4 linked regions of the Stegostoma tigrinum genome follow. The protein of the gene in region 1 binds, or shares a complex with, the protein of each later gene. Links are inferred from orthologs where the notes say so. Each region holds a gene or a part of one and is shown on either strand. Other genes may lie near its edges.

Region 1 (7,387 bases):
CTAATACAGAGTAAGTACACAACTGAGTATTAACTGGACTTGGGTACAATTAGTAAATGTTATGTTGTGACACCATAAGGAATGGGATTAGAGGGATACTGCACTCCTCCAGTCTAGGTCATAACAGTGGGAATTGCCCCTTTAAGAACATCAGTTGCAACAAGACGCGAAGATCATCCATAGGCCTTTCCCTCATTAAATTAAATGGGGTGGAAGGAAGAAGGCTGTGGGAATTCTCATCCACAACTCACCATAGGAATGCAGTAAATTCCACCCATGATTTCTTGGTCCTGCAATCAAACATGTAAATAATGGGTTAGTTAAGACATGCAATTAGGTTCAAGCAGAGTATCTAGATTGAGGTCAACAAACCATTACTTTCATTTTCAAAGGTTTGTGTAATTATGAAAGGGAATCTTCTAAAGTCCTTATCCTAGCTTTGGACCTCATAGGCACGAGACATAAGTCCGAAGCAGATTTTATAAACCTTTCAAACTCTATCAATGTGGATGAAGGAAAGTCTGTGTTTATCTATGAATTGAATTAAACAGAATATATTACAAATTCTCTAATCATGTGAAAATTATTGGATTGTTTTTATGCTGCCGCTTAACCATTTCAGGAAGCTGCTTTATTGTTCATAGTTTTAGTTGTAAAATGTAACAGAGTAATTATTATCTGCCACCCGAAGCCAAAGAATTCATGTCACTTTTCTATTTCTGTACAATTCCTGCACAATATTGCAAGACACATAATGTAAAGTCACAATCTAGCATGTGGCAATGATGTTCAGTGATGATGATGGTTTCTCCGTTACTTCAATGGATATATGCTTAGTAAGGAGTCTCATTTTTTTCCATTTAGGTTAACGTGTGTCTCATACAAAATGGTAAAGCAATCTCCATTTGCAGTTCAGATTGCAAATGTTATATAGCAAATCATTCTGTGTGAACTCACTGGCTTTGTGATGTGTTTGACTTGACCCTTTTCTACTTAAATGTTGAGAGTGCTTGATGTCAGAGACGTCTCAGACATACCCTGGAGCATACCTTGGACTGTGATTCAGTCATGGGCAATGTGGAAGTTGCCTGGAGTAAATGGTGAGCAGAATATGCCAGGTACCCAATTTGGTTTTGATGTTGAGGTTTCCTGACATCCAGCTTTTTAGGTGAGTTTAGTAAGATAGGGCCTAAATATTAAGGATGCAAATTGGGCCATCAACCCGAATTTTAACCAGCAATAACACCCCCCCCCCCCCCACTTAATTGGATCATGGCATTGACTCAACTTTCGTGCATTGGTGGAATTTACCGCACACTTGTCTATACCAATAGAAATGGTTTTCACAAGATTCGTGATTCCAAAGAAGCCTTGTCAAAAAGCTTTCAATGCCTAATGGCCTTCCAGAAACCTTTTTTTCAAATAACTAATCCATGTAACTTTTTTTCCCACTGAGAAATATTAAATGCCTTCATAACAATGCCCACTTTAGGGTTATATCCCACTACTGCAGGAGGCACAGCATACATGGAACTCTGGAGGGATTATTTGCAACCTTCAAGAGTGTGAAGGGTTCCCTTTTTCAACGGTATTTATAGCCTGATTAAGGATTCCACATCGAGTAGGGAGTTGGCCTGGTAACAGCAACTTTCTCACTCCTCCTGTTGATCCCCCCAAAGCCCTTTTACCAGAAGTCCACATCCCATGAATAGCCTCCTACTACCCTTCTCCTGTGCCCCGGTCCATCAGCAATGCTGGATCTTATCTGGTGGTGTACTGGCAGCAGCCATCCCCTCTCCAATGGCACTACTTGCTGTAGAAGGGCTGCTAGCCTCTGACTGGCTTGTGATTCTTAGTGGGTGGAACTTCCATGATTTTGGCAGAAGGCCCTCCACTGCTCTATCAAGTGCCTGTGATATAGGGCTTTTGTCAGCTGTCCAACCAGTGACCAAGAACCCCATCTTCTCCATTAAATCCAGCCCACACATTTGATGAGTGGTTTCCGTCTGCATTTACAATCAGCATGTATTTGAATGGACATATTTCCTACAATTGCAACAAATGAATCGATGCACATAGGCACTGGAGAAATTCCTTCCCAATGTGCAGCACTAAATTTACTGTGGTGAGTCAGATCTTCAAACAGCTCAGAGAAAATGGAAACTGCAGATGCTGGAGAATCCAAGATAACAAAGTGTGAAGTTGGATGAACACAGCAGGCCAAGCAGCATCTCAGGAGCACAAAAGCTGACGTTTTGGGCCTAGACCCTTCATCAGAGGGACCCGAAACGTCAGCTTTTGTGCTCCTGAGATGCTGCTTGGCCTGCTGTGTTCATCCAGCTTCACATTTTGTTATCTTCAAAGAGCTATTGGTTCATTTTGTGGTCAGTGTCAAGTATTGGCACTTATCACTAAGCTTGAAGGAACACACCCTCCTAGATTGAGCAATTTCTGTATGATGGGTTTTGCTATTACTGACTTTAGTTTCAATTTGACTTCTTGTTGAGCAACTTGACGTTAACCAACCAATCACAATAAAATAGTCTTCAGGCTGCAAACCAGGAAATAAAATGCACTGGCCGTTCTTCGCCTTAGAGTGAAATAGATGTTTAAGTCACACACATTTGAAGCTTAAATCACATTGGAAAAAGAGAACTTAAAGTGGAATGGAAAAAAAAATTTAGACAAATATGAAATTAGTTTTCAACAGCCAAAGAGACTATTCAGCAGTAGTACAACATTTAAAAAAAGTCATACTTCATTGACAAGTTGCTGACTTTGGGTCATCGCTGGTGGTGGTTAACGGCAGTATTACAACATAAAAGACAAATTGCTGACTTTGGGTCAACGCTGGTGGTGGTTAACAGCAGTATTACAACATAAAAGACAAAGTTCTTTGTCTGTTTAGTGATTCGAAGTTGATCACAGTTTGAGGAAGTTCGACAGTATGCCCTAGTGAAACAATTAGAATCAGTGGCAGCAACTTCTACATCTGTCTCCACATGTACACAATGGCAAGAGATTATTGATTTCAAGAGGAATAACAGTGGCACTTTTTCATTATCATTGCTACCACAAAATAGCGAGGGGGTTCAAAAACAGGAACAGGAGTGATTTGCTGTGACTGTACAATAGATTTGTAAGACAACACCAGGACAGTGTGTGCAGTCTCAGTTTAAGAATAAAGGGTTTGCCTCTTAGGATTGAGATGTGAAGAAATTTCTTCACCCAGAGGGTAATGAGCTTGTGGAATTCTCTGCCAAAGGAAACTGCTGAAACCAAAACATTGAACATTTTCAAGTAAGTTTTAAATATGTATATAGGTCCTAGGACCAAAAGGATCAAAGCAAATGGAGAGAAAACAGGGCCAGCCATGATCGAATTGAATGGCAGAGCAAGCTCCAAAGGCTGAACAGCATTCTGGTCCTATTTTCCATGCTTCTATGTAAACTGGACTGAAAATTAGAAATCTGAAAATCAGAGTCTTTGAACGTTTTAGAGTTGATGCAGATGAGACACTTGATGACCAAATGGGTAAAAGATCATTGGGTCAGGCGGAAATGTGGAGCAATCAGATCTTGTGATCTAATTGAATCACAGAGGAGGATTCAGGAGCGAGTGGCCTATATCTGCTCCCAATTCGTATCTTCATACCCAACTGACTCAGTTTCATACGCACGGCCCAACTGAACACCACAAAATCATGCTTACAAAGGAAACCATAAAACAACGGAGAGACTATAAACGGTCTTATGCAAGAAAGCAATCTTAGGAAACGAAGATTCTGAGTGGAAATATCAATAATTGTGAAGATGAGCCAACATCGCACAGCCCTATCAATGCTGGCCCACGGTCCTGCGGCACAAGACTGTACCCCTATCAACGCCCCGCCCCGCCCCCTCCGGTGCGGGCCCCGCCTACTCTAGTTGTGGTACCCTCCCACGGACGCCCGCTACCGCCCACTCAAGGTCCCAACTTCTGCGCCCAGCCCCACCGCATTCTACGCCCCACACTGGCCTCGCCCACTGCAAGGGCCCGCCCTGTTTCCCACTGCGCCCCGTCATGGGCGCCCGTCCCTAGGCCGCGCCCTCTCCCGATTAAATCTCCGCCCACGGCTGGACAGACCACACCCACCATCTGTCCCGCCTTCTCCTGCCAAAAGCCTCTCCCCCTCTTAGGACGCGAAGAGTTCGCCCTGTCAACGCCACAGGCCCCGCCCCCTCCACAGCGGGACCCCGCCTATGTCCCATCCCAGGCCCCGCCATCTCAAACAACAGTCCCCGCCCCCTGCCGGACCTGCCCCCTGATCTCTAGGCTCCACCCCCACACTCCGCCGCGCTCCTTCTTTTCTCCTCCCCTTTCCAGTCCCGCAGTTGGTCACCTGACTCTAGCTTAGCCGCGGCCATTTTCTGTTGCTATCTGTAACCTGTAAGTGGGGGACAGTGCAGAGGCAGTATAATTCATTGTTGTGGCTCCGCTGGTTTATTCTACATTCCCTTTCTACGGTTGTGTAGATTCGGGAGAGGAAATCTGGCATGTTTTCCAACATCGGTGGTCGGTGAAAGGGAGAAGGGTTTGTGTAGCTCTCAAGAAGATCCCGGAGAAAGCCGACCCGAAGGAACATGGCTCTGAAAATCGTGAAAGGCAGCATTGACCGAATGTTTGACAAGAATTTGCAGGACCTGGTACGTGGCATCCGGAACCACAAGGAAGACGAGGTGAGTTGGAGCTGTTTTGCAGCCACCGTCACATCGCTGTCACACGAGAATGAGGAGGATTAAGAAACACGGGGAAAGTAACTACAAACGAATGTATCCGAGGCCTAGCATTGATAACAACGGGACAAACCGATCTTTCCATTCTTCACTTCGGCCCGGCGCTCGGGATAGTTCATTTCAGTCTGGAAACTGGGCTGTGGGACGAGCAGCTGCTGTTGACAGGAGCTCCCAAGAATCGGCTCCTTTTTTTCTTCTAACCTGTTTTTGCCTGGCGTTTAATTTCCTTGCGAAAATGTAAATCTGTGTTAAAGCAAACGCCCAAAATAATTGTTTCCCTTGCCAGCCGTCCCCGTTTCTATCTCCCCTCCAACAGTAATACTTATTTTTTTTATGAAATTGACAGTTGAGGGTCCAACTGTGTTTTGGTCCAAAAGCTGATAGTTTTGCTGATGCTGACGTTTGGTAACCTGATCACCAAGGGACGTATGTGGCCAAGCTTCTGACTTGACTCACACCTTATTGCTTACCTAATTGTGCGCGAATATGTTTTACGTTTGTCAATACTTTACCTACATAAACGGAAAATGTGCACATATTGAAGTCCTGATGCGTTGTTGTTGTCTTGAATTTCTCAATACGGCATTTCATTTTGTTTTGACACGGTTGTTTAGTGTATAAAAGTGGTCATTCACTCCAACGTAGAGTTGTAAAACCTTTGGTGATGTCGTGGTAAACCTGTGGTATAATCCTTGTTTGATAATTTTGGTACTGTACCTTTTTGTGTTTCTTTAGCTAACAACTAAGTTAACCTTTTGAGACTGGAGATGACAATGCTTTTCAAAACAGATGTTTTAAACATAGTGGAAAGCTCGCTCTTCTAACAGGAATAGCTTTACTCAAGTTAAATTAACTAGGTTGAGTGCAACCAATATTGTGCTCCCCCTACGATGACAGAATTTGTCCTGTGTACTAGGATCAGCTATTTTGTTTTAAAATAGTGAATGAAAACGAATGTTTGAAGTTTTGTGCCACTTGACACATATATACAGATTTTATCAGATGTTGATTAGTTCACATCCATTCATAATTATGTTGAAAATTTTAAACACTTGCTATTCATTAAGAAATACTAGTTAGATCACAGATTTAAAGAGCCAATTCCTCATAAGTTTCACTTCGTCTTTTGTAGGTGACTGTGCAACTTGAGGGAGAGGGGGTAGGATATGTTCAATGACAAGCATTGTGTTGGGGTGAGACAGGCTTGCTGGACCAACCCCAGTCCAGCATTGGAGCGCTTAAAAATCGAGGGTGGCACTGCAATACTGTTCTGAAGGACATTGTTAGATATGGCATCATGCGCATGAAAGGCCATCTGACTACTTGAATGAACATAAACATTTTAGCACCAATTCACTGAATGTCAGGGTGTAAATTCTGGTGCTCAAGTGAATGATTACCCCTTGATCAACATCTCAGAAACATCTGGTCACTGACATATTGGCTGTGAGAGCTTGATTTGTGCAAATTGGTTTTGTGCATTTCCAACACTTAAAATACTTAATTCACTGTATCATTCTTGGAGTAGTTGTGAAAGGTGCAACAATGCAAACTTTGTAGATTTGAAGAAAAGTTTTTTTGTTAATTTTTGTTAAGGGTACAGTCATCAGGTTACATTTCTTTGCGGCAGTATGAAAGTTTTAATGTGGGAGTTGGAGTTTTGTGAATGTAATCAGGTTGTGAAAAAAGCTTTATGCGTGCCAAACTGATATGATTTGTTGGGGAGTGGAAGAGAGACGGAATGCAGTTTTGGGCTTTTTTTTGGAACTACTGATTTGTTAGTTCTTAAGCAGAAGAATCATTTGGGAACAGTAAAACACCAATCGTGTAGGTCAAGGTACCTTAATTTTGTTAGGAGAATGAGGATAGCCAAATTAATATTGTCAAAAGTAATTTGACATGTAAACTTCAGCTATAACATGATTAAAATTGGTTTATATTTTGAGCGGTTGTATTCCTTTCAGTGACTGCACAATCCCAAAAACTGTGAAATCATCTATAGTCGGTGTTTCCAACTGCACTTTTTGATTCTGTGTCCTGATTCCTTTACTTCAAGTTAAACTTTTAAATTATAATATTTAGCATGTTTGCTTCATTCGATTAACATATGCTGCAAGCATTGGGACATGTATTTAAACTTTATTTAGGTTTCTGAAGTTCCGCCCATGCGTGGTCTCTATGCACCAGAGGAAATTACAAATAATAGCAAAAGTTAATATCCATGGAATTCATTTTAGTAATATAGCAAAACACAGACTCCAATTGTGCCAAACTGCTCTGGTGAAGTTGTGTGGTTGCACGCTTCTTTTCATTCTGCATACTGCTAGCCAACATTATTCAGTTCTTAAGTAGGGAGTGTGTAATTGCATCATCTGACATTGGTGATATTGGAAATTGTTTAAATTCAATTTACGTGGCTGAAGCTAGTGCACAAATCTTGTTTCTTGACATTGTAGGGCTGCAGTTTTGCTTCAGTTCTGTTGATGCAAAAGTGCTAATGGCAAATGGGTGAGTCAAATCACCATAAGCATTTTAAATCTAAGTTGTATAATCCTTTCCAATAGCTGGCTTTGTGACCTCTGTGCTGCATGCTAGTTGCAGCAATCTTCAAC
Region 2 (7,372 bases), on another chromosome or scaffold:
CAGATGTTGCTACCTGGGATTTGGAAAGAAACATTACAGGTGATGTAAATTCAAAGATAAACAAAAATAAACCGTGAAGTAGTAAGATGCCTGACGATTAATCCAAGACCTTGCAAGTCACAGGGCTGCAAAATATCTCAGGTTAAGTCAGTCACTGGGCAAAAGACTACCAGATCATCCTTGTTCATATGTAGCTGCACTTTGAATTCATCAGTTTTCTTTCAAATGCGATAATAGCGAATTCAGATGGAGTCTTTAGTTGTACCTTAGTAATGTTGTAAAGTCTGATCTTAATTATTTGTTACCCTTATAATTGCCATCTCTTCAACTGTCTGTTTCCCATGTACTACCTTCTTCTTTGACCTCTGCTCTATGCTTTAATTTATCACCATCCCAAATTTGATCCCTTGCCATCCCCAGCCAAAGTACCATGACAAACTCTCCTTCTCAACCTCTCCTCTCACCTGCTGTGTGGTGACACTTAGGTTAAACCATCATCAGTCATTTCGCTCACATGAGAGAGTTAGCCTATAATCCGGTAAGACTATCACAACATTTTACTTCCCTCGTTATGCAGCTGGCAAGAATACCAGCTCCAGCATTGTTCAGGCACAGATCATCTGATCAATACAGATCCGACATGCACTCATTCTGGTACCAGAGCTGCATGAACCAGAACACACCATTCCCACACCAGACTTTGAGCCAAGTATTCTCCTCTCTAATTTGATTTTCCTTATGTCAAATTGCTCAGGAAATAATCCAAAGATTATGAGGTTCAATGAGAAAGCTTACATATTTACGTCAATAAGAGAATCAAAGTAAATATGGGTCCCTTAAAACTGACACAGGAGAAATAACGCAGAATAGCAAACGGCAGAGACATTAAACAAGTTATGAAGTATAATTATGTAACAGTAAATATGCTGCAAAAAATGATTATAGCACACACTGACTGTATGCAGTTGAAACCAGATCAACTGTACTCCCACAGAACAAGCTCATTACAATATATATCATAATGGGAATATCAGAAATCGATAGGCATAGACAAAAATTTGGATTTGGGTTTAAATTCCATTATAGTGTAAAGAACCTGTCTGCTTAATTTTCTCAGAGATAGTAGAAACTGCAGATGCTGGAGAATCTGGGATAACAAGGTTGAAAGCTGGATGAAGACAGCAGGCCAGGCAGCCTGATGTTTCAGGCCTAGGCTCTTCTTCAGAAATGCTAAATTGTTTAATTTTAAATAAACTAATGTTTAATTTTCTGTATTTTGACTGGGGATCAAAATAGGAAAAGGTCTATTTTAAAAATCAAGGATTGCTGCATTGTGTACAATTTGGAGCTTTGGCTTGACATCTGTGGACACAGACACAGAGTTAATGTTTTGAGTCCATGAAGGACCCTTCTTCAAAACAGCATTTTCTATATTTTCCTTCTACAATTATAGCATTCAGCAGAGGCTTTTAAGCCTTTGTGGCCGCTAAACGAGCAGGAATCACAGCACAAATACAAACGTGACCCAGCGTAACTCAATCATTTAGGAAAACATTACCAAAATATCTGTCTTAAGCCTTTCAATGTCATCAGCAAGACAAGACTCTTTGCATAAACAAATGCCAAATTTTCCTTCCATTTAAAACTGCCCGCCTCACTGCATTTTCTTAGCTGCCATGAAGTTACGCTCTATATTTACTTTTTTTGTATCATTTCAAACCTTGTAGCTATATTACCAACTCTCTTGCTACTAGACTGAAAAGGTAGAGTTTCACAAGTCAACCTCCACAGCTTTAATCTAAGAGTTATATCTTGAGTAAACAAGTGGAACAGAACACTCAGTAAATTGTCAAATGACAGGATTGCATAACTTAGCTGCTACATCTACACAATATCTTCGGCACAAGAAGAGCTAGCATGAAAAGGCAGAGTGGCAGAGTGTTAACACAGTATGGAGCTGGAGAAGCACAGCAGACCAAGCAGCATCAGAGGAGCAGGAAAGCTGACATTTTGGGTCGGGTCCCTTCTTCAGGTCCCAAGCCAAAATGTTAACATTCCTCTTCCTCTGATGCTGCCTGGCCTGCTGTCTTCCTCCAGCTCCACACTATTATCTCCGACTCCAGGAGCAGCAGTTCTTACTATGTGAGTGGCATATTGTTATTGCCCTGGACAATTAACCCAGAATAATGTTTTGCCAACATGGTAAAAGGTAGGGTAGAAATTGAATGCCCTTAACAGATCTGGCCTATATTTGACTCCAGACCCACAGCAGAGTAGCTGATTCGTAGCCTCTTTTTCAAGCCAAGCAAGTCTCAGCTCACAGGTAATTAATTGATGGCCTTGACAGCACTCCCCTGAAATAATAAAGGTAGGGGAGAGAATAAGGAAACAGAAAAACAAAATATGCAGAAAAATCCTGGATTAAAATCTTGGATTGGTTTCCAATCAGATATTTAAAAAAAACTTGTCAATTTTAGTTAACTGAGCAAATTGAACAAAAAAAAAGCGAAGGACCAACACAAACGTTGTCACGGTTAAGAATTTCCATTGATTATAGATCGCTTCATTATGGCAACTTGTTACCTCTGCTCATGATGACACCCAACTTGTGAGCTGCTTAATTCCCTAGACTCGTCCCACCCATGAATTTTTGAAATGCACAATGATAAATGTTAATTAGCATAAATAAAAATCTAATTTTCCTTCGTATTCTATGATACTAAAGGCTGCGAAGCTGAAATAGACAAGCATATTTTCTAAATGGAAACTAACAATGAAATCAAAAAACCAAATGGAATAAAAAGATCACAAGTAGGCAAACTGCAGCGTGCTTAATAAATTCGTTCGTGATCTTCACGAAATCGAAGGAACACCCTACTGATGCATGTAGCAAATCTGGATGAAAATTGACTGTTGTGGACCTGTACACGGACATTGAGATCGAACCAGCGATAATCGCGCTGCAAGGGAGGAACCGGAGAGGGGAGACGCGCGTACCGCGAGGAAGGGAACGACCTGCGCAAAGTGGAACTTAAGCGGGGGGTGGGCGAGTCAGTCAGAGACAGAGTGAAGAGCTGCAGGCACTTGATTGCTGTCCAAGTCTATTTTGTGCAGGGGTAGTTAGTACCAGCCAGGACGCAATTACTTTGGGGGGGGGGGGGGGGGGTGTGGGTGGGAAGAGCGCTGGGTTGTGTTTTTGATTACTAGTCTCCGAGTTTCATGAGCTGCAATTTTGATACAACATGAAAGGTCCAATGAAACCACATTTTGGGGAATTTTTAATGACTTTTCAAACAGGCAGTGGCTTTGGCATTACTTGAAGCTTTTCCTTTGCAACGTGAAAGGTCGTTTGGGCTGTTTTGTGACCTTGAGTACAGAGAGGGAAGACAAATTAAAAGTCCAACATTAAGGAGTCTGACCAGCGTGGTTAGATTTTCAACAAAAGGCACAACAGCAAGTAAGAAAAACTAACAAAAAAATCTCAGCAACAAATTAAACCACCACAAAAGCCAATCGTATATTTCAAAAATAAGAGTCTATAAGTCGAATATGCCCGTGGGAGTAGAGCACAACTTTGAAGCCAAACCTGCTGTCTTAAAATTGCTGCAAATGCACGGCGTGGCAGACACTCATTTGAAATATTTCTTGCTTATTATACGAAAGGCATGATCGACTTTTCCTGACAATGAATGAAGAAAATCTTTGAACGTGCGCTGGGGGCAGTGTGGTTTCAAACCATCAACAATCACCGTTTAAATATAAACCAAAAGATCAGGCACTCTGTTTTCATGACTGGGTGTTCCTTTTTACCTGAGGGAATTGTGCTGCAGCTTGATCTTTTTCGCCGGTTGAGGTCCGTCCGTTGCCATTACTTCCCAATTCACGCCGCCGCGCGCTGCAAGGGAGGAACCGGAGAGGGGAGACGCGCGTACCGCGAGGAAGGGAACGACCTGCGCACAGTGGAACTTAAGCGAGGAAGTCAGAGACAGAGTGAAGATGCGCGGTTAGAGGAAGGGGGCGGGGGAGAACTGTAGCCGCGTCGGGGTTGGGCCCTGCGGTTGAGGGGCGGGGCAGGACTGACGGTATGCAAATGAGGAGAGGGATGGTGCCGGAGAGGCGGCGCGTGGGGAGGAGTGTGAATGGGTGGAGCGGCGGGACGTGGACAGGAGGGGTCCAGTACAAAGGAGAAACGACAAGGGCGGGGCTAGCGTGGCAATGCGCATGCGGAGTAGGCAGATCACATTGGCAAGATAATAAAGTGTGAAGCTGGATGAACACAGCAGGCCCAGCAGCATTTTAGGATGCTGCTGGGCCTGCTGTGTTCATTCAGCTTCACACTTTATTATCTTGGATTCTCCAGCATCTGCAGTTCCCATTATCTCAGAGCACATCAGCAGCCCAAGAGGGCGGTACAAGCAGTCAGCAGTGGGAGCGGGGCCCGAGCACTTTAGGAAAGCAGACCATTCAAGTTCATAACGTGAAATATTTGTCGCTTAACATTTTACGCAGTCCAGACCCGCCCACTAAGTCGCAAGCAGTGACCAGCTGAATAGAAGCGCGTGAAGCCTGGGTTTGCCAAATTTTCAGAATTATTCGGTGGTAGTTTTCAGGTATTGGATGCAGACGCGAGAGGGCGGGTAAAAAATAAAATGATCGGTCTGTTAACAACATGGCTATCAATTTTATTAATGATGCAAACAAAAAAGAAATCTATAGGTAAAAGAAGTCACAAAGTCGATTTGGACCATAATAGGGAAACGACGCAACAATCAATCAATTGGCCTGTAATAATTTTGAAAACCCAAAAGTACATGGAGACCCAGCAAGAGACATGAAAGGCGTTGTTTTTAAGTCACAGGACGTGACATTTTGGGAGAAAGCGACCCATGATTGTCCCTTTCATTTACATGCAATGGAATTAGTAAAACAAACCTGTTTCCAATTGGGTTAGCACCAAAATATACCCACTTCCCCTCTCAATCCCCTTTTTCGTGCAGAACTCGTGCGGTGATTCATGAATGTTTTATATTTTCTTTAAAATCTCGTTTTCTGTTTCCAGGAGCTGCTTCCGGCGGCGCCGCCGCCATATTCCTGGGGCTGCTCTTTGACGGATTGATTTGATGCCTGTGAGGCTGTTCGTGTGGCCGGGCAACACCGCTTCACGGTTTAAAAGGACACAAATAAACCGCTGGGACGAAACAAGAAAAAAATGATCCATAGCCTGTTTCTCATCAACAACACTGGCGATATCTTTCTGGAGAAACATTGGAAGAGTGTGGTGAGCCGGTCAGTCTGTGATTATTTCTTCGAGGCCCTGGAGAAAGCCGCGGAGGCGGAAAATGTGCCTCCGGTGATCCCCACACCCCATCACTACTTGGTCAGCACGTACAGAGACAAGATCTTCTTCGTTGCTGTCATTCAGTCCGAAGTGCCACCTCTCTTTGTCATTGAGTTTCTCCATCGAGTGGCAGAAACTTTGCAGGTTTGTACACGCCACACGTAAGGGGGAAATCAAAAAGTCCGTCACTGTAAATGGAACTACCTTCGGCGTCTTCTGTCAGTTTATTTCGATGTGAAGTGAATCTCTTTGCAGGAGAATCTCGTTTGGGGAATTTACCGATGTTGCGCCTAACACTGAATGTGTCCTAGCTAGAGCCTGGGTGGGAGTTAGATGATGGTTGGGTTCAAGTCCCCTTCCAGAGACTTGAGTGTACAATTCAAGAAAACAACAGAGATCCTGTGGCCATTCGAAACTGTTCTACCATTCGGTGTAACCTCTTGGGGTTAATTCAACAGTTTTTACGTACTCCCCAAACCCCTTGATTCCTTGAGATACCAAGTGTATTCAGGGAGTACTGTACGTATTGTGGGAGAGAGGGTGCCTCAGATGAGAAAGGAAATCGAGGTCTTGTCTACCTTCTCAGGCGGACATAAGATCCTTTGATACTGTCACAAGGAAAGGGGCATCCTGACTCTTGATCAATATCATTATCACTTAAGACATGATTTACGATGTGTAGCATTCTTGGATTTTTGACCCAAAAGTGCTTGCATTTTTTTAGAAGTACTAGCTATAAAATGAGTTGTCCCAAAGCTGTAAAATGTGCCGTTAAGTGTATATTTTTAAAAATCTTCAGTCTGACACAAATAGTTTAATTAAGGAATTGCATTATCACATTGTTCTTCAGGACTATTTTGGAGAATGCTCTGAGGCTTCAATTAAGGATAACGTTGTTATCGTGTATGAACTTCTGGAAGAAATGTTGGATAATGGTTTTCCATTGGCTACTGAATCCAATATCTTAAAAGAACTAATTAAACCTCCTACAATTCTTCGCTCTGTTGTTAATACTATTACAGGTAAGAAGTGGCTCCTCTACCTCAGCAAAAGAGTGGTGTTCAGAATTATGAGGATTTTTTTTGATACTAGGAATAAACTCTCTTCTCTGGCATGAGGGTCTTTAAGCTAAGGTTACAGAAGTAAGATAATTTATAAAACAACTGAAGGGGTGTGAAGACACTTCTGTTTTTCCATACAGGGTTGTTGAGATTTGGAATATTTTACCTCAGTCATGGAAACAGATTCTGTAGGTACATTTAAAAGACATATTTGGTGAGGACCAAGTTATAAGGCTGTTGGAAAAAAGCTGATGGATGGGACTAATTCACGTCGCTCTTTCAAAGAGGCATTGCCTGACCCATCTCCTCCTGTACTGTAAGATTGTAAATTTGAGCAATGGGTCTACATGCATGGACCATCATCAGATTGAAGATACACATTGTGCTTAATTAACTTCAGTTGAGGTAACACTGTTGATATACTGAACATGGACGTGCAAAAGCATTTGTCAAATTGCTGTGCCACAAACATGAGCAAAGTTAAGAGCTCATGAAATAATTGCTACAGTGGCAATATATTTTCGAAATTAGCTGAATAACAGGAAACAGCAATGTTTAATGGAAACCAAACAGACATTGCTGGATAAGCTTAGCAGGCCTGGCGGCATCTTTAGAGAACGTTTCAGGTCGAGTGACCCTTCCTCATGTGACGAGTGCCCTAGGGATTGGTGATAAGATTCCTGTTCTTCTTGATGAATATGAATATCTATACCGTGCACAATTTCAGAATGTGACAAAGACACAAAAATTAATCTTTTAATGAACTGAGAGGGGGTCATGCAAATCCTCAAATGGACGTAAGTTACATGAAATGGGTGGAGAAATGGCTGAAGAAGTTGAATGTAGTAAAGTGAGAAGTCATTCATATTTGTCAAAAGACCATGGATGGGTCAGTAAAAGAAAAAGTACAATTTTAAAGAGGATGCAGAAGCAGGTCAGCCAGGGTATATTTGCAGAAATATGGAGGTCAGTC
Region 3 (6,957 bases), on another chromosome or scaffold:
TCAAGTGACTGTTCTCCATACAGAACTCGACGGTGAATGTTGGTAAACTACCTGCTCCACAGCCAAGCAAACCCGAAATTTTCCTCACTGTTATACAGTAACAGGTTCCAGAAGAGGGAACTGATATTTCAAGAACTGGTATGTTGACTATTTTTATACAAATTCTTTAGGGTAGCTTTGACGGCAGCCATGAAATCTTGCACGCAAACCTCATCAACCTTTGAATGTTCCACATTTATTTCGTGTCGGAGCAAAAGGAGGGATTAGGATTTGTAGTTAAGTCAAAGATACGCAGCTGTTGAAAATAATTCAGCTTGGAAGTATGTAACTGAGGTTTTGGTGAGAAAGGCAGGTGTTAGACTATGGATATAAATAGATGCATAGTTAACAAAAAGGAAGTTGTGCTAAAACCTTATGAATCAATGGTTAGGTTTCACCTTGAGTATTGTGAATCAAAGAAAAACATTCAATAACATCAGGTCCAGTGGACTCAACGGAATCATGTTACAGCCAACACAAAGTTCGCACTGTGGAAATACCATTCACTGATTTGTCAATTGCATCATTCTCAATTCGTGTTGCTGGAATGCGCATTATAGCAGAATGCCCTGTAGGTTTACTGTCATTAGTACTCAAGTACAGGAGTACAGTGAAAAGTTTACAATGTTGCCCCACTTGGTGTCATTTCAGATACAAAATACCTAGGTACAAATCTTAGATACAAATAAAGAGATAAAGAAAAAATGTTGAAGTAGAACACAGATGTTGTGTAGGGGGACTGTTTTTTATTGATATTCTTACTTTTTGAGCAATATTGTCTCATCTACTGCTAATACAACATCTCATGATTGACAATACAAACAAAATCAAATTCAATAGTTCTCAAGGTGTTTCACAATAGACTCATCTTCTCACCCGCACTCTAATAAAAATTCCTGAATTTGGTGGCCTCTATTTGTATACTTTACTTTTCCTTCTTTAATACTCTTCCTCTCCCTTCTTGTTGCCTTCTGAATTCATCATCTGCAAGGCCTAATTTTAAACCTAAACATGTTGGTGTGTTTTGAAATTTATTTATGAATTAATGGGATGTGGGCAACATTGGCTAGCCTAGCATTTATTACACATGCCTAATTGGTGCTGAGAAGATGGTAGTGAGTTGCCTTCTTGAACTGCTACAATCCATGAGTTCCAGGATTTTGCCCTAGAGACAGTGAAGGAATGGCGATGTTGTTCCAAGTCAGGATGGTGTGTGGTTTGGAGGGGAACTTGCTGGTGGTGCTGTTCTCATGTACCTGATGTCCTTTTCCTTTAATGTTCTAGAGAGAACTGGTTTGTAAGGTGCTATCTAAGGAACCTTGGTGAGTTGTTGCAGTGCATCTTGTAGATGGTTTTTGACCCCTCTGCTAAGGGAAAAAGTTTCTCTCTATCTATTTAACCTTGTATACTTTAATCAGATTCCTTGTCAGCCAATTCTTCTTCTTTTCTATTTAGTTTTTCTTCATAGCTGATTAACTCCAGTCCAGGCAACATCATGGTAAATTTCTTCTGCATTGACTCTAATGCAATCACATTTTCCTATAGTGACAATAAGAGCTCCATACAGTGCTACAGCTTTGGCCGAACCAATTTTATAGACAGCTCAATCATCAATTCTTTGCTTGTGTATTCAATGTCTTGACTATTCAAGGTAGGTATTCCTTATGACCTTATCTTCATGACCTTATCTATCTGTCCTGATGCCTTCAAGGATCTATGGACATGCACACAAAGGTCTCTTTGAACCACTGCGCTCCCTAGAGTCCTACCATTCAAGGGGTACTCCCTTGCCTTGTTAATTCTCCCAAAATGCATGACCTCACACATTTCAGGATTAAATTGCATTTGCACTGTTCAGCCCACCAGGCCAGTCTGTCTATATAGCCCTATAGACTAAGGCTTTCCTTCTTGGTGTTAACTATGCCAACAATTTTTCAGAATAGAGGTAATAACATATGAAAAAATATCAGTTGATTCAGAAGAGTCAGTCTGGACGTACTAAGGGAAAATCTTGTCTAACTGATTTGCTCGACCTTTTGTATTGTTGTTGTGAGGACAAAGCTGTTATATGGTGCACATGGATTTCCAAAAGGCATTCAATACAGTGCCACACAAAAACCAGACTTATTAAGAAAGTTATCACGTATGGAATAAAAGGGACAGTAGCAATGTGGATACAAAATTGACTGAGATAGGAAACAGAGCTTAATAGATAATGGATACTTTTTGTGCTGCCAGGTTTGTAGTGAAGTCCCCCAGGGTTCACTTTTGGAATCCTTGCTTTTCCTAACATAGGAATAAATGATTGAGATCTTATGTGCTAGGTGCAATTTTCAACCTTGTGGATGACAGAAATCTCAGGAGAATTGGAAGTTTGAAGAGGACAACACAGAACTTCAAAGGAACATTGGCACTTTTGTTGAGTGGGTCGATAAAGTTCAGTGTGAAGTATGAGGAGATACATTTTGGTACAAACATGTGTAGAGACAGAATAAAAGAAACTACACTTTTCCAAAGGGTGTGTCAGAGAATAAGGTCTGGGTATTTATACATAAGTCATTTAAAGTGGCAAGACAAAGAGAGAACTGTCTCTTCTAGGTATGAAGACAGGTTGAGTGGATTAGGGTAATTTACATTAGAAAGACGGAGGTTGAGGAGGGGACCTGACTGAGGTCCACAAAATCATGAGAGGTATAGACAGGGTGGATAGCGAGAAGCTTTTTCCCCAGAGTGGGGGACTCAATTACTACGATTTCAAGGTGACTGGGGAAAAGTTTGAGGGAGATATGCGTGGAAAGTTCTTTACGCAGAGGGTGGTGGGTGCCTGGAACGCATTGCCAGCAGAGGTGGTAGAGGTGGGCATGATAGCATCATTTAAGATGTATCTAGACAGATACATGAATGGGCAGGGAGCAGAGGGACACAGATCCTTGGAAAATAGGCAACAGTTTAGAGAGAGGATCTGGATCAGTGCAGGCTTGGAGGGCCGAAGGGCCTGTTCCTGTGCTGTAATTTTCTTTGTTCTTTGTCAATAAAGCATATTCAGTATTCTACATTTCATTAATAGGAGCAGGGAGGTTACAATGAAATTATATAGCAGCTGGAGTATGTGTACAAGAAGGATGTTAATGCTTTTCAAGGTGGTCCAAAGAGCTTGTTCTGTTTTGTGTTCATTTTAGACAGTGCAGAAGAAATCTAAAAGATTTGCTAAATATTTTCAAAATCCTGATGAAATACCAGTAAAAATTACAAATGATGCATACTAGTCCAACCTGTCTGTAGTATCAATAGTGCTCTAATATGACCAGTACATTTCCAAGTTTTTTTTTCCCTTTTTCTCTCTGGGTGCATAGTAGTAACATTATTAGAGTGTAACCCTTTGTAATAATTAGAGTGGTGATGCTCTGAGAGCATGTTCCTTCTTACATTACATGGGCTTTGACACTGAGTTTCAATTACCTTTCATTTACCACTGTTCATCTCATTCATTTCATTTGGCTCATTTGTGGGCCAACTTTTCCGTAACTTTAAAAACATATTTTATTCATAGACATATCTTTATGTACATACAGTCGTTTCTGTACAGTAGCATATGGATAACTACACACACATTAGGAGTTTGACTCCATCCAACAAACAAACCTGAGACGTTTCTTACTTATATTTCTGAGCCAATTTCCTCTTGTACGACGACTCCCTGAATTTGGCATCGTCGTTTTGGAAAGGGACGTGTGATTATAAATGTGACCTACTCCGTCTCTTACGTCCTTACCACGAATTTGCATTGAGTGTTTTTAAAGAAGAAAACAGCAACTCTTTCCCCTCCAGTTGAGCAGGGCGGCGTCACGACGGTTATGTGCAAGGGGCGTTTCCATGGTATCGCCGGGTCATGTGACCTCGGTGTCAGCTGACCTCCTCCCCCGGCAGATTTCCGGTGTCGCTCGAGTTGGGACCGGCTGGCAGGCGGCGGGGACTTTTCGACATTACCCAGATTAAACTAACTGTTCACACCACTTTGGCAGCTGGTGCCCGGGACACGGGGCGAGCATGGCGACCAACAGCACGTCCTACAATGATCAGGCTCTGGGAAGTGAATCGACCGAGTTGGGCCAAGAAGCCTCGGCAGTGACTTCAGGAGGAGGGGCAGCAGCTGGGTTCCGGCTCTTCAGCGTAGACTACAAGAAGTAGGTTAAAGAGCGCCTGAATGCCGGATTTTACACACTCCTTCTGCTCCGTTCTCTGATACAGGAACTCTTTCGTGCTACTAGTCCTTGTTGTGAAATATAGTTTTCGTGAAAGGCCTTTGGCAAACTTGTTTTTTCGTGCTGATCCATGTCCCAAGGCGACTAAACACTTTACTGTGAGCAAGTACTTAGTCCATTACATCGGTGCTTTTTTTCCCCAGCTTTCGTTTTAGATTGAAGTGCTGTAAATTATTGAGTATGGCCACTTTACAAACGTCACGTGATGAGAGACTTAGTTGTGACAGCTTTGAAAAGGGCTATTTGGCCTGTCATGTTTGCATCATTTTCTGAATGAGCAATTTACTTAAAACTATTTATTGCTATCTCACTAAGACTGTGTAGTGTCCCCTTTCAAATGATAATCTACTTCACTTTTAGATGTTACAATTAAACTATACCTTAAGACTATTTGTTCCAGGTTGTTGATGTGTTCCAAAACTCTCTTTCATCCACTCACCATTGCTTCTTTTGCCATTTAGTTTCAATCTGTGCAGTGTTGTTCTCTGTCAAAAATTGCAGCCCCAGGCGATAGTCCAACAGCTTTATTCGAAGACAACTTCTGGGAGTTCCGCTCTGGCTTCAGATGAGACTCTGAAAGCTTCTGTCTGCAAATAAGCCTGTTGGATTAAACTTGGTGTAATATGATTTTTGACCTTGTCCACTCCAACAGCAGCATCTTGTTCTTGAGCCTTCTAACAGTGGGGTTTTAGTTCAGTATTCTACCGTGTCGAGAGGCCTGTGAGATGTTGGATATCTCCATTGAATCTTGTTTAAACTTCTACAAAATAAGTAGCCCAAACTTCTCCAGTTTACCCATGTAATTGAAGTTCCTTATCCCTGGAACCACACTCATTGTTTTGTGTGTTTTTTCCAGTTACTTCCTATCCTTTTAGACTAGACCAGACCAGACCAGACTAGACTAACCACCAAGTGTGCGCACACCCCATCATTATGACAGCCTAGGTCAGGTGTGGTGTTCCAGATACAATTTGATTTGTCAACTACCAGTCTTGAAGCAAAAAATACCACTATTTGCACATTTAGTTAAAACACAATAAAAATTCAAATAACCTAACTGCTGGAATACTTAACAATAACAGACTAACTGCTAAACATTAACTCTTAAACACAGAGATAGCAGGAACTGCGGATGCTGGAGAATCTGAGATAACAAGGCGTAGAGCTGGATGAACAAAGCAAGCTAAGCAGCATCAGAGCACAATTTCTGCAGAAGGGTTTAGGCCCGAAACATCAGCCGGCCTGCTGTGTTCATCCAGCTCTACACCTAGTTAACTCTTAAATACACCCTTGGCAAAGGCAAATTCAATAAAATAGTGTCTCACATGCAATTCTAGCAGCAGGAAGAGAATCCCCAGCTTTTAGCTGTAACAGAGAGAGAAAAAACAGCTTCCACATCCAGCTTCAAGACCCCAGCAACTGCCACTGAAAAACTAAAACTAAAAATCTTAGTTCTGTGGGAGCTTGACATGACTCATTCAGGCTACTGCTTTTCCAAATTTAGGAAAAAAAGTCCAAAGCCACTTTGGGGTTTATGGGCTTTGAAGCAGATTGCTCATACTTCTGTCTCAACCTTTCTTCAAAACGAAGCACTAAATACACCTGTTAAAGCCATTGTAGTGTTAGTGTTGAAATGTCTTCAGCAGTGCTGTCAAACAGCACTTGCTCAGCGATAACCTGGTCATTGACACCCAGTTTGGCTCTGTTAGGGCTCTCAGCTCCTGACCCTATTACAGTTTTGGTTTAATATGGACAGAAGTGCTGAATTCCAGAGGGGAGAGTGAAAGTCCTTGACATAATGGCCACATTTGACTCCAAATGGGACCAAGTTGCCTTAGGGAAACTGTAATCAATGGGAATGGGGGGCAAACTCCGTGCTAGTTGGAGTCATAGGAAAGTGGTTGTTATTGTTGGAAGCCAGTCATCTCAGCTGTAGGGCACCTCTGCTGGAGTTGTTCAGGGTAGTGATCAAAACTTGTGTCAGAGAAATGCCAGGTAGTGACCATCTTCAGTTGAAGACAATCTATTGCCCCCTTGACATTTAACGGTGTTTCCATCACTGAATGTCCCACTTCGAACATCCTGGGGGTTGGCATTGACAAAGACTGGGCTTTGCACAGAAGCGCAGTGACTGCAACAGCAGTTCATAAGCTAGGAGTACTGCAGCGAGTAACTCTCCATCTGACTGCCTGAAGTCTGCCCACCACCTACTTGACATGTCAGGAATGTGACGGAATACTGCCCACTTGAGCAGCTCCAACAATGCTCAAGAAGCTTGACTCCGTCCAGGAACAAAGTGGCCCACTTGACTTACACCACAACCCCTCCTCCAATGCTCAGTAGGACCAGTTTGGTGAATTTTTGAACTGCAGCTTGTGGATATTACAAGGATTCTTGAAAACACTTTCCAAACTCATGACCATTTCCATCTGGAAGGCCAAGGGCAGCAGATACATGGGAACACTGTCACTTGCAAGTTCACCTCTAAGCCAGCCACCATCCTGACTTGGAAATATATTGCCATCCCTTTACTCTCACCGGGTCAAAATCATGGAATTCCCTGCCTTAAGGGCATTGTGGGTCAACCTACAGTATATGGACTGCAGTGATTCAAGAATGCAGTCAACACCATTTTCTCCAAAGACATTTAAGGCAG
Region 4 (7,022 bases), on another chromosome or scaffold:
TCTGCCTTGGATTCCAGCATCTGCAGTTTGTTTTTTGTCTCAGAAAGAGGCACAAGCTGATTAGCCTCCACAGTTATCAAACAGGGCTGTCTATTTGTGATAATGGGAACTGCAGATGCTGGAGAATCCAAGATAATAAAATGTGAGGCTGGATGAACACAGCAGGCCCAGCAGCATCTGTGCTCCTGAGATGCTGCTGGGCCTGCTATGTTCACCCAGCCTCACATTTTATTATCAGGGCTGTCTATTTGTTTACTTGGGCTCACAGCTATTTACTGAAGTAAGCCTCAAGGCCAGGATGGACATTATTAAAGATTTGAAGATTTAAAACATGAGCTTTGTTTGCTATAAGAACCAAGATAAACTAGAGTAATAAGTTAGATAAGATCCCGCAAAAAATATGAGAAGTTTCCTGCCTGTCTTAGAAAATTGATAAATATTCAGCAGAGCAGTATGCATATAATTTTGCATTAGTACCACAATATGGCTGTAGCTAAAATGGTAACACAGCCAATCCTTAACTCAAAGTTGTCTCTACTTGAATTGTATTGAAAATTAACTAAGCGTTGTAGAAAATCTTAACTACTACATCATTCAAGGATTGACGGTTGTGGGGAATACATTATCGAAGGAGGCTGCTGAATCTGATTGCATCAGCAAATCCAAGCTAAATATTCTTAAATGATTGAAAAAAATTTGATGTACATGTTTTAGAGCTCTCAGCGGATGTGATATTTCCAAGGTATTGGATCTACTCTTCTGAGCTTTTCCAGCAATTTCTGTTTTTGTTTCTGATTATACTTCAACAGATGCATTTAGCTGAAAGGAAATCTGATCAGCTTGCAGAAACTAACTACAAAATGTTTGTCTGTATGTCAGTGTTCACATAACTAAGGACAACTTGTCATCTTAATTTTGTACTTTTGCTCCCTAACAATGTTGAAGTCAGTGAAGTATTTTAGGACGGGGTTGTATGAACAAATTGGCACAAATAAAATATGGAACCCAAAGAAATAGCGAGAAAAGAGATAGGTTTGAGGCTAGTATAGTAGATAAGGAAAGTTAAAGAGTCAAGGCAGGCAAGAGCACAGCAGAGAATGAAGTAAGGCTCATAAATTAAACTGCATTTATTTCAAAGCAAGAGGCCTGACAGGTAAGGCAGATACATTTAGGGCATGATTGGGAATGTGGGACTGGGAAATTATATCTATTTGAAAATCGTGGCCCAGGGAGAGGCAAGATTGGCAGTTTAATGTTCTGGACTACAGAAATTATAGGGAAGATAGAAAGTGGGGGCAAAGCAGGAGGGTGAGTGGAGTTCTTGGTTGTGGATAACATTAGGTTGTACTTAGGCAAGGCATTCTTGGAAGAACGTCCAGTGAAGTTACATGGGTGGAACTGAGAAAGAGATGATCAACTTATTGGGATTGTACTATAGGGCCCCCAATAATCAGTTTGAAATTGAGAAGCAAATATGTCAGGACATCTCAGATATACAAGAAGAATAGGTTGTAATGGTAGGGAATTTTAACTTTCCAAACATAGACTAGCACTGCCATAGTGTTAAGAGCTTGGTTGAAAAGAAATTTGTTAAGCGTGTATAAGAAAACGTTCTTATTCAGTACGTGGGTGTACCAGCTAGGGGAGCAAAACTGACCTTCTCTTAGGAAATAAGGTAGGGCAAGTGACTGAGGTGCCAGTGGGGAAGCACTTTAGAGCAAGTGATCATAATTCTACTAGTTTTAAAATAATTATGGAAAAGGATAAACCTGATCTAAAAGTCGAAGTTCTAAATTGGAGTAAGGCAAAATGTAACAGTATTGGGAAGGATCTTTTGGAAGTTGATTAGGGGAGATAGGTTCACATCTAAAGATACAGTTGGAAAATGGGAGACCTTCAAAAACAAATTAATACGAATTCAGAGACAGTGTGTTTCTATTAGTGCAAAAGGCAAGGCTGGTAGGTATAGGGAATTCTGCATGTCTAGAAAACTTGAGGTTCTGTCAAGAAGAGGGAGGTACATGTTAGGTAGACAGTTGGGGTATAGTATGGGGCAGTAAGAGTGTACTTAAGAGGGATTTCACAAAGGCAAAAAGGAGACGAGAGAGCTTTGGCAAATAGTGTTAACGAGAATCGAAAGAGATTTTACAAATGCATTGAGGGCAAAAGACTGGGGAGCTAATAGGGACACTTAAAGATCAACAAGGCCATATACGTGTGGAACGACAGGAGATGGATAGGATACTAAATGAATATTTCACATCAGTATTTACTGCTGAGAAGGACATGGAAGCTAGAGAACTTGGGAAATAAATAGTGATGTTTTGAAAAGTGTTCATAGGAGGTGCTGGAGGTCTTAAAATGCTAGGTACAGATAAACCCCAAGTCCTGATCAGCTGTATCCCAGAACTTTGAGGGAAGCTGGGTGCTTGATGAAATATTTGTATCATCAATAGTCACAAGTGAGGTGCCAGATGACTGATGGGCGGCTAATGTGGTTTATTTAAGAAAGGTAGTAAGGAGACACCAGGAAACTATGGATTGGTGAGCCTAGTGCCAGTGGTAAGTTCTTAGACGGGATTCTGAGAGACAGGATTTATATGTATATGGAAAGGTAAGGGCTGATTAGGGATAGTCAACATGGCTTTGTCTGTGAAAAACTGTATCTCACTACCTTGATTGAGTTTGTTGAATAGGCGAAAAAGAAGATTTACAAAGGCAAAGCAGTACACCTTGTCCACATGGACTTTAGCAAGGCATTTGACAAAGTTCCACATGGTAGACTGCTTAGCAAGGTTAGATCACGTGGGATTCGGTGGAGCTAGCCAACTGGATACAAATTGACTTGAAGGTAGGAGAGACTGGTGGTAGAAGGTTTTTTTAAAAAACTGGAGACCTGTGACCAGCAGTGTGCAATAGTATCCATTGCTTTTTGGTATTTATATAAATGACTTGGATGTGAAATATGAAAGGTATGGTTGGTAAAGTTGCAGATGACACTAAAATTGTTGGCAAAGTGGACAGTAAAGAAGGTTAGAGATAACACGGCGTAGAGCTGGATGAACACAGCAGGCCAAGCAGCAAAGCTTGACATTTCAGTCGGGACCCTTCTTCAGTAAAATAGGTTATCTCAGTGTAAATTGGGACCTTGATTAGATGGGCCAAGGAGTGGCAGGAGTTTAATTTAGATAAATGAGAAGTGTTGCACTTTGGTAAGGAAAACCAGGACAGGACTTACACAGTTAATGGTAGGACCAGAGGAAGCTGAACAATGAGGCTTTGGGGTCCAAATGCATATTTCCTTGAAAGTGGAGTTGCAGGTCGACAGGATGGTGAGGAAGGTGTTGACACACTAGCTTTTATTCATCAGAGCACTGAGTACAGGAGTTGGGAATTCATGATACGGACAAACAGGAAATTGGTAAGGTCACTTTTAGAATACCATGTGAAGGATATCTAACTGGCGAGTATGAGTTGGACTGCAAGGTCTGTTTCGGTGCTGTATAACACTATGACTCTACGAGGAAAAAAGTCAATCCGTTTGGACATATTCCAAATGTCAACCTTCGCCTTCCGTCCCACCCGCACCTTTATGCACCTGTCATTGTGCCAAAGGAAGTCATTCAACATGGAATCCTGATCTTGACTCTTGAAAATCTCTGATCTTCCGACGGAAGATAGGAATAAAATCGTTCAATAAAGACCGTTAAAAGTATGTATTCGTTTTACTCAATGTGATAGAAAATACCTACAGAAGACTGTGAAATCATTAAGTACCCTAATAAACGAGCAGTCTAGCACCCACCACTGCCAAAAAAATCGCGTGAAAAGCTTTAATACATTTTTTGTTAACTTAAGCCCATTTTAAAACGTCTTGAATTTACGACGTTTTTTTAAAAAAGAAAATCCCACTCAGAAACTAAATCGGGTGTTCCTAAAGTTATCTCTAAGGCCGTTTGATAGGCGTTTCGAAATAGCGCAATGACTTTCCTGAACGGTGGTGGTTGCCGTCACGGTGTAAAGGGCTGGCAGCTGGGAGGAAGTTTCCTGTGACGGACGCTTCACTTCGGGTTCGGTTCCGCCCACCTCGGTTTTTACGTTCATGTTTCGGAGAAATTTCGTTTCAATTCTCAACTGCCAGTCGGTGCTCCGGGAAGAGGGCTGTCCGGTCGTCATGATTAAAGCCATCCTGATATTTAACAACCATGGCAAGCCGCGGCTCTCCAAGTTTTATGAGCGCTATGTGAGTATGAGGGAGAGAGGGCCGGGATCGAAGCGCCCGTTAAACTGTCAACTTCCGCGTGCGGTCTGTACATCTAAACCGGGCACGCGCTCCAGGCCACATTCCAAAGTAGGGCTTGCGCTCGGAGCAACCTGGCGTCATCACAGAGACGGAGTCTTGCTCTCAAAGTGAGCTTCTACATTGGGCTGTCACAGCCGCATAGTAGAACCGCTCCACTTCGCCCACCGGCACTCGAGCACCGTATTTTGAATTCGAAGATTTGCCCGTCGGCAACTGTAAAGTTGGTGTACAGATTACACCAGGCTTTATTTCAATGAGCTGTACTGAATATTCCAAAGCAGAGATAGGTGGTGTTTCTTTCGAAACGCTGTTCTTCAGGTTGTCCTCCCCGATCTATGTGGTTGCGAAATTGCAGCATACAGCCATCGGCTGCACGAAGCGTTGTTTTAACACACGAGGTCAGACAAAACAAACATTTAAAGTTCAGCGAAGAAGAAAAATACTAAACTAAAGCAACATTTGTTATTTACGCATTGGGACGAAGTACCTTTTGAGTTTATCGAAAGCAAAAGTTTTCGAACTACATGTTGGAAAGGCAGGAGCGGTTGAAATCCAGTAGCGGCTACCCTGTGAGTTCATCCTGTGATAAATGCTTTCTAATTAGGGGGGCGTCTGAGGGAAAGGGCTGTGATATATTGGCACATCAGTAGTTAAGGTTGAGATGTGAGATCATCGGAGACTTGGAAGGCGATAGGCATTATGTGTCTAACTGTACAGCGTTCTAGTATTCCTACAAAAATAAAGTTTTATCAGACCCTAATTACTATTGCAAATACAGAGTGCATTTATATAGTGGCAAAGTGCGTTACAGCCAATGAGGTATGGACTGTAACAAGCAAAAAGTACTGGAGGAAACTCTGCAGGTCTGACAGTATCTGTAAAGAAAATCAGAGTTAACTTTCCAGTCCAGTGACCATCGTCAGAACTGATACGATCTCTTGCGCTGAAGAACACCTGGCAGCCACTTTGTATACAACAAGGTCTCTCAAATAGTCATGCAATAATTCAAAAACTGTGTGTTTGAATCTGTTGGTATTGGCAAGGATGCTAGAGATCACTCCCTTGCTGCTGCTCAAAAGAAATGTCATGGTTTTTTTTCATATACCGGCTTAGAAAGCAGATCACTGTGAATTGAACATCACCTCTTGATGGGTGTGGTGTGTTAACTTAGTTTTATTCTCCAGTCTTTGGCAAGAGTTTAATTAGGGGTAGGAATCAGCCATTTAGCCCCTTGCATCCACTTTGCCATGTTCTAACATGGCAGATAATCTATCTCAACATCTTTTTCACACATCATCCAGGTATCTGTTGATGTCATTAGTATTGAAAACTCAATCAATCTCTGTCTTGACTACAGAGATAATGGGAACTGCAGATGCTGGAGATTCCAAGATAATAAAATGTGAGGCTGGATGAACACAGCTGGCCAAGCAGCATCTCAGGAGCACAAAAGCTGACGTTTCGGGCCTAGACCCTTCATCAGAGAGGGGGATGGGGGGAGGGAACTGGAATAAATAGGGAGAGAGGGGGAGGCGGACCGAAGATGGAGAGTAAAGAAGATAGGTGGAGAAGGTGTGGGTGGGGAGGTAGGGAGGGGATAGGTCAGTCCAGGGAAGACGGACAGGTCAAGGAGGTGGGATGAGGTTAGTAGGTAGCTGGGGGTGCGGCTTGGGGTGGGAGGAAGGGATGGGTGAGAGGAAGAACCGGTTAGGGAGGCAGAGACAGGTTGGACTGGTTTTGGGATGCAGTGGGTGGGGGGGAAGAGCTGGGCTGGTTGTGTGGTGCAGTGGGGGGAGGGGATGAACTGGGCTGGTTTAGGGATGCAGTGGGGGAAGGGGAGATTTTGAAACTGGTGAAGTCCACATTGATACCATATGGCTGCAGGGTTCCCAGGCGGAATATGAGTTGCTGTTCCTGCAACCTTCGGGTGGCATCATTGTGGCAGTGCAGGAGGCCCATGATGGACATGTCATCAAGAGAATGGGAGGGGGAGTGGAAATGGTTTGCGACTGGGAGGTGCAGTTGTTTGTTGCGAACTGAGCGGAGGTGTTCTGCAAAGCGGTCCCCAAGCCTCCGCTTGGTTTCCCCAATGTAGAGAAAGCCGCACCGGGTACAGTGGATGCAGTATACCACATTGGCAGATTGGCAGATGCCCCACTGCATCCCTAAACCAGCCCAGTTCATCCCCTCCCCCCACTGCACCACACAACCAGCCCAGCTCTTCCCCCCCACCCACTGCATCCCAAAACCAGTCCAACCTGTCTCTGCCTCCCTAACCGGTTCTTCCTCTCACCCATCCCTTCCTCCCACCCCAAGCCGCACCCCCAGCTACCTACTAACCTCATCCCACCTCCTTGACCTGTCCGTCTTCCCTGGACTGACCTATCCCCTCCCTACCTCCCCACCCACACCTTCTCCACCTATCTTCTTTACTCTCCATCTTCGGTCCGCCTCCCCCTCTCTCCCTATTTATTCCAGTTCCCTCCCCCCATCCCCCTCTCTGATGAAGGGTCTAGGCCCGAAACGTCAGCTTTTGTGCTCCTGAGATGCTGCTTGGCCAGCTGTGTTCATCCAGCCTCACATTTTATTATCTGTCTTGACTACATACAGTTAGAGTTTCCAAAGCCCACTAGGGCAGAGAACACTAAAGATTCCTCCCTCTCCTGAGCCGAGGAATTCTTCCTCATCTCAATGCTTGCCCCTTATCTTTTAGAATCTG

Evidence for each region.
Region 2: the proteins of ap3d1 (region 1) and AP-3 complex subunit mu-1 are in contact, whole or in part, in a cryo-EM structure (PDB 9C5C), measured with the Homo sapiens proteins. The link is inferred for Stegostoma tigrinum from reciprocal best matches to the Homo sapiens genes AP3D1 and AP3M1. Residues at the interface, in NP_003929.4 of Homo sapiens: Lys29, Glu388, Gly389, Thr390, Thr391, Arg393, Glu429, Arg432; in NP_001307192.1 of Homo sapiens: Ser25, Ser27, Asp30, Tyr31, Glu34, Pro52, Asp104.
Region 3: the proteins of ap3d1 (region 1) and ap3b1a are in contact, whole or in part, in a cryo-EM structure (PDB 9C5C), measured with the Homo sapiens proteins. The link is inferred for Stegostoma tigrinum from reciprocal best matches to the Homo sapiens genes AP3D1 and AP3B1. Residues at the interface, in NP_003929.4 of Homo sapiens: Lys352, Leu442, Ile446, Ser471, Tyr483, Trp487, Glu491, His517, Ala520, Val521, Gln524, Asn525, Lys528, Val561, Gln562, Ser563, Ala564, Leu566, Glu567, Gln569, Glu570, Arg571, Ser573, Cys574, Gln577, Leu578, His581, Ile582, Leu585, Lys588; in NP_003655.3 of Homo sapiens: Asn75, Lys466, Lys467, Gln470, Val494, Ala497, Ser498, Trp501, Leu531, Leu534, Gln535, Asn538, Lys542, Asn567, Tyr568, Asp569, Asp572, Arg573, Arg575, Phe576, Ile577, Gln579, Leu580, Lys586, Gly588, Ala589, Leu590, Ser591, Tyr593, Lys596.
Region 4: the proteins of ap3d1 (region 1) and AP-3 complex subunit sigma-1 are in contact, whole or in part, in a cryo-EM structure (PDB 9C5C), measured with the Homo sapiens proteins. The link is inferred for Stegostoma tigrinum from reciprocal best matches to the Homo sapiens genes AP3D1 and AP3S1. Residues at the interface, in NP_003929.4 of Homo sapiens: Leu18, Gln19, Val22, Arg26, Cys60, Thr63, Tyr64, Gln66, Met67, Leu68, Gly69, Tyr70, Asp71, Ile72, Ser73, Lys87, Phe88, Thr89, Arg92, Ile93, Leu96, Gln100, His103, Tyr126, Leu132, Thr133, Ser136, Tyr161, Lys164, Lys165; in NP_001275.1 of Homo sapiens: Met1, Lys13, Pro14, Arg15, Leu16, Ser17, Lys18, Phe19, Pro22, Tyr23, Glu25, Asp26, Gln28, Gln29, Arg42, Asp43, Glu44, Asn45, Val46, Cys47, Asn48, Phe49, Ser80, Glu81, Ser82, Glu83, Leu84, Gly85, Leu87, Asp88.

Annotation. Positions count from the first base shown.
Region 1 is NC_081383.1:19,184,090-19,191,476, reverse strand, and holds the start of ap3d1 (AP-3 complex subunit delta-1), read left to right. Parts: upstream 1-4,384; 5' UTR 4,385-4,622; coding exon 4,623-4,718; intron 4,719-7,387. UniProt on the Homo sapiens protein: Part of the AP-3 complex, an adaptor-related complex which is not clathrin-associated. The complex is associated with the Golgi region as well as more peripheral structures.
Region 2 is NC_081390.1:13,541,394-13,548,765, forward strand, and holds the start of AP-3 complex subunit mu-1, read left to right. Parts: upstream 1-4,354; 5' UTR 4,355-4,610; intron 4,611-4,927; exon of another isoform or gene 4,928-4,946; intron 4,947-5,059; 5' UTR 5,060-5,209; coding exon 5,210-5,482; intron 5,483-6,188; coding exon 6,189-6,360; intron 6,361-7,372. Other genes in the region: adenosine kinase-like, read right to left, coding at 3,811-3,869. UniProt on the Homo sapiens protein: Part of the AP-3 complex, an adaptor-related complex which is not clathrin-associated. The complex is associated with the Golgi region as well as more peripheral structures.
Region 3 is NC_081356.1:107,905,617-107,912,573, reverse strand, and holds the start of ap3b1a (AP-3 complex subunit beta-1), read left to right. Parts: upstream 1-3,936; 5' UTR 3,937-4,086; coding exon 4,087-4,223; intron 4,224-6,957. UniProt on the Homo sapiens protein: Subunit of non-clathrin- and clathrin-associated adaptor protein complex 3 (AP-3) that plays a role in protein sorting in the late-Golgi/trans-Golgi network (TGN) and/or endosomes.
Region 4 is NC_081356.1:77,147,934-77,154,955, reverse strand, and holds the start of AP-3 complex subunit sigma-1, read left to right. Parts: upstream 1-4,017; 5' UTR 4,018-4,102; coding exon 4,103-4,243; intron 4,244-4,375; exon of another isoform or gene 4,376-4,827; coding exon of another isoform or gene 4,828-4,872; intron 4,873-7,022. UniProt on the Homo sapiens protein: Part of the AP-3 complex, an adaptor-related complex which is not clathrin-associated. The complex is associated with the Golgi region as well as more peripheral structures.